Canis lupus familiaris: one gene and its partner. Each later gene encodes a partner of the first gene's protein in a complex. Links are inferred from orthologs where the notes say so. Each region holds a gene or a part of one and is shown on either strand. Other genes may lie near its edges. The genes, in order: GTF2F1 and POLR2D.

What was found.
Region 2: GTF2F1 (region 1) and POLR2D share a complex: the UniProt entries of both Homo sapiens proteins name them as parts of the TBP-based Pol II pre-initiation complex. The link is inferred for Canis lupus familiaris from reciprocal best matches to the Homo sapiens genes GTF2F1 and POLR2D.

The regions. Positions count from the first base shown.
Region 1 is NC_049241.1:54,168,310-54,172,748, reverse strand, and holds the start of GTF2F1 (general transcription factor IIF subunit 1), read right to left. Parts: upstream 3,034-4,439; 5' UTR 2,571-3,033; coding exon 2,559-2,570; intron 2,473-2,558; coding exon 2,426-2,472; intron 1,905-2,425; coding exon 1,832-1,904; intron 1-1,831. Other genes in the region: adenylate kinase isoenzyme 1-like, read left to right, coding at 3,218-3,311. UniProt on the Homo sapiens protein: TFIIF is a general transcription initiation factor that binds to RNA polymerase II and helps to recruit it to the initiation complex in collaboration with TFIIB. It promotes transcription elongation.
Region 2 is NC_049240.1:24,117,346-24,121,154, forward strand, and holds part of POLR2D (DNA-directed RNA polymerase II subunit RPB4), read left to right. Parts: intron 1-1,004; coding exon 1,005-1,185; intron 1,186-3,809. UniProt on the Homo sapiens protein: Core component of RNA polymerase II (Pol II), a DNA-dependent RNA polymerase which synthesizes mRNA precursors and many functional non-coding RNAs using the four ribonucleoside triphosphates as substrates.

The DNA of each region.
Region 1 (4,439 bases):
TAACTACTCAGGTGCTGCATGTCAAGGTGATGGGTGACGAGGGGCAGGTTCCTCTGGTTTCTTGTGGATGAGGGAAAAGGGGCTCTCCCACTCAATGAGGGATGGCGGTAGTATGTTAGTATGTTCCCAAGGTATTTACCAAGTTATTCCTCTTAGTGAGGGGTGTTTAAAGCTGGGACCCCCTGATGTGTGGGTATCTCCCTCTTGGATGATCAGTGATAAAGAATGCCCCACCCCACCCCCACCCCCAGAGTGATCAGGGATTTGGAAACACTCCACCTTCTCTGGGTAATTTAGGTGAGACCAGAGGTTGGGGGAGCATGTTAGTTTGTATATGAATGTGCATACGGCTGGAGATGCTGGGGGGCAGGCAGCCTACAAGGGAAGAGGGTGCCCTGAGCAAGCATCCACCTGCCCAATATCCAGAGGGACTAACGTCTCTTTCAAATAGCCTCACTTGCTCAACTAGATGAAGGGATGTTTAAAAACAGTCAAAAGACAGACCGGTGCTGAAAACAGGATGAGCAGCAGGAGCTGCCTGAAGCTGCCAACTTTAGACCTGGGCCAACTCCTGTGCTGGGCTGGTCCAGTCTCTGTGGCTTCAAATGCTGCCCCCAATGCCCAGATGCTCCCTCCCAGTCTCCCAACTCAGATGCTCCACTGCTTATTTACTGTCTCCTCCTGGGTGTCTGATATAAGATGTTGAGAACTGAACTCCCAATACTCTGTCCATCCGGCCCTGTCACCCGTCAACATCCAATCATTAACAAATCATGTTGGCTCCACTTTAAAACACACTAGAATCCACTGACTTCTCACAACCGCTGTTTGCTCCATGCCCAGTCGTCACTCACCTGGACCACCGCCGACGCCTCCACCCTGCAACACCCTTTGTCTGCCCCTGATCCTATAGCACCCAGATCAGTTTATAACTCCCCTGTTTAGAACCCTTTAAAGGTTTCTGCTATAGACTGAATGTTTGTGTTTTTTTTTTTTTTTTTTTTTTTTTTTTTTTTTTTAAATTTTTTTTTTATTTATTTATGATAGGCACACAGTGAGAGAGAGAGAGGCAGAGACACAGGCAGAGGGAGAAGCAGGCTCCATGCACCGGGAGCCCGATGTGGGATTCGATCCCGGGTCTCCAGGATCGCGCCCTGGGCCAAAGGCAGGCGCCAAACCGCTGCGCCACCCAGGGATCCCTGAATGTTTGTGTTTTATCCCAAAATGCATATGATGAAACCTAACTCCCGGTGTGATGGTATGGGGAGGTGGGGCCTTGAGAAGGGGATTAGGTCCGAAGGGTGGAGTCCTGGTGAATGAGATGAGTGCCCTCTTAAGAGCTCTCTCACCCCCTCTGCCACGTGAGGACACAGTAAAAAGACAGACATCTACGAACCAGGAGGCAGGCCTTCACCAGACCAAACATCTGCTGGCGCCTTGCTCTCAGACCTCCTAGCCTTCAGAACCGTGAGAAATAAATATGTGTTGTTTAAAAGCCACCCGGTCTGCGGTATTCTGCTGTAGCAGCACCCATGGACAGAGCTTCCAAAAACCATCTGCAGGCTGCAGCCCCCTCGGCCTTGCCCAGATGACTCTAGGCTGGAAATGCCCGTCAGGGGGCACAACTTCTAAATGCCATCCTTTCATGAGGCCTCCTGTGGGGCCTGCCCAATCTTCCTCACAGGGATCCCTAGCAGCTCAGCCTGGGCCTCAGTACATCGTCTTATCCCCACTCGGGGAGCGGGGTCGAAGCCAAGCCTTAGTTTTACCACTGTAACTAAGCGCCTATTGCAGGATCAGGTTCTTACGCTCACTCCCAACGGGGACTTACCTGATTCCAGGTAGCAAAGTTGACTTTGTCAGCAGCATTGAAGGCCATGATGTTGTATTTTTTCGTTGTGTTTCTGGGGTGGGCAAAAAGAGGGCTGCTCTCAGTTCACCGTTCATTTAACAAACCCTCCCTTGGCTCAGCAACGCTGGGGACCCACAGAAGCCCTCAGGGGTTCCCGGTCTCTCCCGACCCCTCTGCTGAAGAAGAGCAGGAGGGGAGGCATAAAGGTCGGGGGACGGGGGGTGCCCAAGGTGTGGGAATAATGGAGACCTCTGTCCTGGGGGCGGGGGCGGGGGAGGGCAGGCAGGGCATGTTTCCCAGAGGAGGAAGATCGTGGGGCTGGGTTTTATAGGACCGACAGGAGTCACAACGCCAGGGAAAAGGCCTTCCTGCCGAGAGAAGGCTAGGCCAGGGGGCTGCATCCGACGTACCGCCCACTAATGGGCTCATTCATTCATTCCGTTGCAAACACGGGATGCACCTCGCTCAACCCCAGCCCTGGGCCCAGGTCCCTGCTCCTCGGGAGGCGGCATCACCGGCGGCGCCAGGCTGGCCTGGGAGCTCAGGAAGCGGGGAGAGGGCTGCGGGACTTACTTGGGAACTCGGACGACATACTCGGTGACGTTCTGGCTGCTGGGGCCCTGCGGGCAGAGAAGGAGGGGCGGTGGGTGAGTGGGGGGCTGCAGAGGCGGCGCGCCGCGACCCCCGAGCTCCCCCGTGTACTCACGAGGGCCGCCATGGTGACGGTCGGGGGTTCGGGTCCGCTGCGGCCCGCGCCCCTCAGTCCCGGGGAAGCCGCCCGCGCGCCGTCGGGTCTCTGGCCCGGATCGAGGGGGCCGCTACCCAGAAGTCGGTCTTCTCGGGGAACCGCTCCGGCCGCGTCTGCGCCTGCGCCTAACCTGGACGTGACACTCGGGCCGCGGCGCGACGGCAACCTCCTCCGCGTCACCTAGCTCCCCGAGTCCCGCGGAGCGGACGGCCCAGACCGACCCCGACGCGGAAGACACCCCGGCTGCGGCGGAAGCCGCGTCGCGCCTCTCTATAAAGCGCGACTGATTTAATCAGCCTGTGGCCACGCCTCCTCGTGACATCACATCCGGGGGCCGCGGGGCGTCCTGGGAGAGGAGGGAGGAACCTAGCCTCCCTCGCGAGCTCTCGGGCGCCTCGCGCATGCGCCACTGCACTCCGGAAGTGAGTCGGAGGAGGCCGCGTCACCATAGCGACCGGGGCCTCTTAGTCCGCGCCGAGCTGTTGGGGCGCCGCCAGCTGCGCCCCTTTGGGTTCATTTCCTCCTTCTGCCCCGGGGAGACCTCATCGTCTCGCCAAGTGATCGGGCCCTTGTGACGTAGAGCCGAGCCAGGAGGAGGAGTCAGGGCCCGGGTGGGGATGGGGCGCGACCACCCCAGGGCCGCTGGTGGGATGGGTCTGTGCAAGTCCAAGCTGCCCGAGGTGGGCAGGCCCCTGCGACCCCAGGAGAAGGGTAACGTCGCAGGGGCGGCTGGCTCACGGGGCGGGGGGGAGGAAGGAGGCCGTGAAGGGCACGAGGGAGGTGCAGGTACCCCACACCCCAGGCCGGTGTGCACACGCCCCGCCCCCCACCCACCGAGCTGCACGTGCTCGAGGATCAGCCGCGCTTTGATCCGCTTGGGCACCTGCTGCGCGGGGTTCTGGGCACTCCACGGCGAGTATGTCACACTAGCTGTCCGGCCTCCAGGAGATGACAGTGTAGACAGGGAAGGAGACAGTCTCAGAAAAATGGGATCGGCGAGCAGGAGGGAGCAGGGCTGCCACGGGGAGAGAGGAGCCGGCTCTGCGGCCCCCAGGAGAGGGGAGGTTTAAAGTTTACGTTGGGCCCTGTGGGATGCCTGGGAATTCACTAAGCCAAGCGGGAGGGAAGCAAGACACGGAAATTGCATTATCGACTACTGCGCTGCCTTAGAGACGCCTGGTAGCCACGCACCTTCGTTTGCTCATCACCCGCTACCGCACGTCAGGGACCGTGGCAACTGGTAGAAACCCGGGGACCAGCAAGACAGAACTGGTCCTTGCCCTCCCGGAGCACAGAGTGTGGCTGGGGAGACGGACAAGAACAAGGAAACAGGCAAAATCCTAGCTGACCGTGGCTGCTGCAGTGGAGGAAATGTGGCCCTGGGACGGGATGATGCGGGGGGAGGTCGGGAGGGGAAGCCTGATGGGCGGGCGGGTGGGCTGTGTCCTGAAGGCGGCGGAGCAGGGACTTGGCGTGCAGGGGGAGCAGCGGGAGAGGGATGAGTTTGGCAAGTTCAAGGGACAGAAGAGGCCAGGGGGGCTGGACCAGAGGGAAGGAGGAGGAGGGCGTTGTGGGATGGCCCAGAGGGGGCGCAAGTCTGAGCCTGTTTCCTCAGCTGTCAAACGGGACAATCGAGTCATTGAGGTTTTCAAGGAGATGCTGTGTGCAGAGGGCATGGCCTGCTCGCAGTCTGCATCCTCTTCGCAGCCCCCCAAACCCGCCCCTGTAGCAGCGCTAACCCGTGCCCTGTGTGGATATACCACTGGGCATGGATGCACACCCCCAGATGCCACCCTAGGGCAAAAATGGGTAATGCCAGGAGACCCGTGTCCCGCGTCA
Region 2 (3,809 bases), on another chromosome or scaffold:
TTTTTTTTTTTTATTTATGATAGTCACACAGAGAGAGAGAGAGGCAGAGACACAGACAGAGGGAGAAGCAGGCTCCATGCACCGGGAGCCCGACGTGGGATTCGATCCCGGGTCTCCAGGATCGTGCCCTGGGCCAAAGGCAGGCGCTAAACCGCTGCGCCACCCAGGGATCCCTTGAAGTAGGTTTAGTTGGGGAACAACATAAGATTATGAAATCTAGAGGGTAGGGACTTATTTTTTATTTATTTTTTAAAGATTTTATTTATTTATTCACGAGAGACACACAGAGAGAGAGAGGCAGAGGCAGAGGGAGAAGCAGGCACCATGCAGGGAGCCTGACATGGGACTTGATCCCGGGTCTCCAGGATCAGGCCCTGGGCTGAAGGCGGCACTAAACCGCTGAGCCACCCGGGCTGCCCAAGGGTAGGGACAAGTCCAATAGTATGTAATAGGTAGTGATCTGGGTGAATGAGTAAATAACAGATTTGTACAGGTACAAAAATAGAATTTGGGATGCATTATTAATGTGTGTTTCCAAATACTTGGCCCTCCCTAAGATGTAATAATTCTTAAAGTTTTGAGTATAATATTAGTATTGTGGAACTAGATTATCAGTTCATGCAAGCTACAGAGAAATAATTGTTGATTATGCTCTATTTTGAAAATCCTAACTGGCCTAATTAGGGTAATGATGTGTTATTATAGGATAATGATATGTCATTGTTGTGACATATCACAACACACATCCTGTGTTGTAGCACATCCAGGTCAGGTTCTTTGATGTTAGAAACTGTCTAGCTGGACTGAGCTAAGTGTTAGTATCTCATGAACTCTACTGTCCCTTGTGGTAGACTGGTCTGGATGAAGATAAAGCTGTGGGATATTGGGCCTCTGGATTTATGCAGGGACAGAAATTTGCTGCTAGTCTTGAAGGCAAAATGAACATTTAGAAGTTGTCTTTTGAAGGAATACTTTCAGCTGACATTTATGCTTCTCACAAATAGAGTTTGAAACAGCGGAGACATTACTAAATTCAGAAGTTCATATGCTTCTGGAGCATCGAAAGCAACAGAATGAGAGTGCAGAGGATGAACAGGAACTTTCTGAGGTCTTCATGAAAACTTTAAATTATACAGCCCGTTTCAGCCGTTTCAAAAACAGAGAGACCATTGCCAGTGTCCGTAGGTGAGTGCTAAAAGAAAGTTTTTATTAATCCAAACTGTTGGGATCCCTGGGTGGCACAGCGGTTTGGCGCCTGCCTTTGGCCCAGGGCGCGATCCTGGAGACCCGGGATCGAATCCCACGTCAGGCTCCCGGTGCATGGAGCCTGCTTCTCCCTCTGCCTGTGTCTCTGCCTCTCTCTCTCTCTCTCTCTGTGACTATCATAAAAAAAAAAAAAATCCAAACTGTTGGACATCTGTGTAAAATGCTTTTGCTTCTACTGCCACTGCCAGCACTGCCATCCCATGGTCATCATCTGTACCTTTAATGTAAGAAAAATAATATCTGTCTGAAATTTAAAAATTGCTTATGAGATCAAAATTCTTTTTGGCCACCTTTCCACATACCTAAAATCCCAGTGGTCATCCTGCACAGTAACCACTGTTAGTTGGTTATTAGCCTTCCAGATCTTTTCCATGTATTCACATATATATTTTATATATGTATAAAAAAATATATATATATATAACACATAACAGTGTTTTGTGAGTTTTTTTTAATAAAGTGGGCTTATTTATTTAAAATGTCTTCAGGATCTTTATATGTAATTAAGTATAAATCAGGAGCATTCTTTCTGAATCTTTGCTGTACTTCTCAGAAGGCAGCCTTTAGCATTTTTTTCTAAGGCATTGCGTCTCAAATTGGGTAACCTGGAAAAACATGATGTACTAAGGCATATAGGAAGCCACAGGAAAAAAACACATCTTCAAACATCAGTTTTATTTGATGGTAGGTGATTTAAAAGACTTCTACATTAAAACAAACAGATACCAGCATATTGTTGAATAAAACAAAAAATATATGTGAATTCCTGAATTAAATTACAAGACTTAAAACCTTACAGATGCAGAAAGTCATTTGAGCCTGTGCCCCCCAGGTCACCTAGGGATACTTGTGTGCTCTGCTCTGGTGAAAATGTTTGAGAAGTACTGTCCTTAGGAAAAGCAGGTATACAAAAAAAGATGTATATACACAGATACTTTTCAGAGAGCTACTTATAATAGCCAAGGACAGGGAGAAACGTTAAACATTCAACAGTAATTAAATAAATAGTGGTAAATCATTTGGTGAATATATGGTCATTCAAATTGTGGTAGAAAATGAAATCGAAAGATGTTCCCACGTTAAGTGTGCAGAAAATGAAGGTGATAAAATTGTATATGAAGAATAATCTGTTCTAAAAAGTGAATGTACGCATGGAGAAAAGATTGGAGGGAAATTTGCAGAGCTTCCGAGCAAAACTACAAGCTGTTGGGCCTAGGAGATGACCTGGACAGATGAAAGTAGACTTACACATTCAGTATTTTAAACATGTTGGTTCTCCCCAAATTAATGTATACATTTAGTGCCATTCTGGGAGCGCCTGGGTGGCTTGGTTGAATGACTGACTCTTGATTTCAGTTAAGGTCATGATCACAGTGTCATGAGATGGAGCCCTGCATTAGGCTCTTGTAAGAATTGTCAAAAAAAAATTTTTTTTTTGAGAAATATGAAGGGGAGAATTCGTCCTAAAAGATGTAAAACGCATTAAAAACTGATAGCAATTGGGACGACTGGGTGGCTCAGTGGTTGAGCGTTTGCCTTTGGCTCAAGGTGTGATTCCGGGATCAGGTCCCCCATTGGGCTCCCTGCAGGGGGCCTGCTTCTCCCTCTGCCTATGTCTCTGCCTTTCTCTGTGTCTCTAATGAAAATAAATAAAATCTTAACAACAAAAAAAAAACAACTGATAGCAATTAAAGTGGTGACACTTTGGCATGAGAATAGATCAGAGGGGGCAGCCCCGGTGGCGCAGCGTCGCAGCGGTTTAGCGCCGCCTGCAGCCTGGGGTGGATCCTGGAGACCCGGGATCGAGTCCTGCATCGGGCTCCCTGCATGGAGCCTGCTTCTCCCTCTGCCTGTGTCTCTGCCTCTCTCTTCGCTCTCTCTGAACAAATAAATGGATAAATCTTAAAAAAAAAAAAAAAATAGATCAGAGGGAAATAATTTTTTTTATAACTTAGAGAGCGAGTGAAAGCACTCAGGGTGGGGGAAGAGCAGAGGGGAGGGAAAGAGAGAATCTTAAGCAGGCTCCCCACCTAGCATGGAGCCCACTGTGAGCTCATCTCAAGACCCTGAGTCCATGTCCTGAGTCAGAATCAAGAGTCCGAGGCATAACCAATTAAGCCACCCAGGTACCCCTAACGGGGAAATATTTTATTTTTTTTTATAAAGATTTTATTTATTTATTCATGAGAGATACACAGAGAGAGAGAGAGAGGCAGAGACACAGGCAGAGGGAGAAACAGGCTCCATGCAGGGAGCCTGACGTGGGACTCGATCCCAGGTCTTCGGAATCAGACCCTGGGCTGAAGGTGGCGCTAAACCGCTGAGCCACCCGGGCTGCCCTAGGGGAAATATTTTAAAACAAAGTTCAAAACCTATACCTTATACCAAACTTAATTCCTAAGGAATTAAGGATTTGAATACAAACCATGGTGAATAAAAGTGCTTTGTGATAATATGAATGTTTGTATTATTTTGGCTGTGGTTAGTAAGACTTTTAAATGAGGGGAAACTTGATTGACTAGTAGAATATAAGCTTTGTGAGA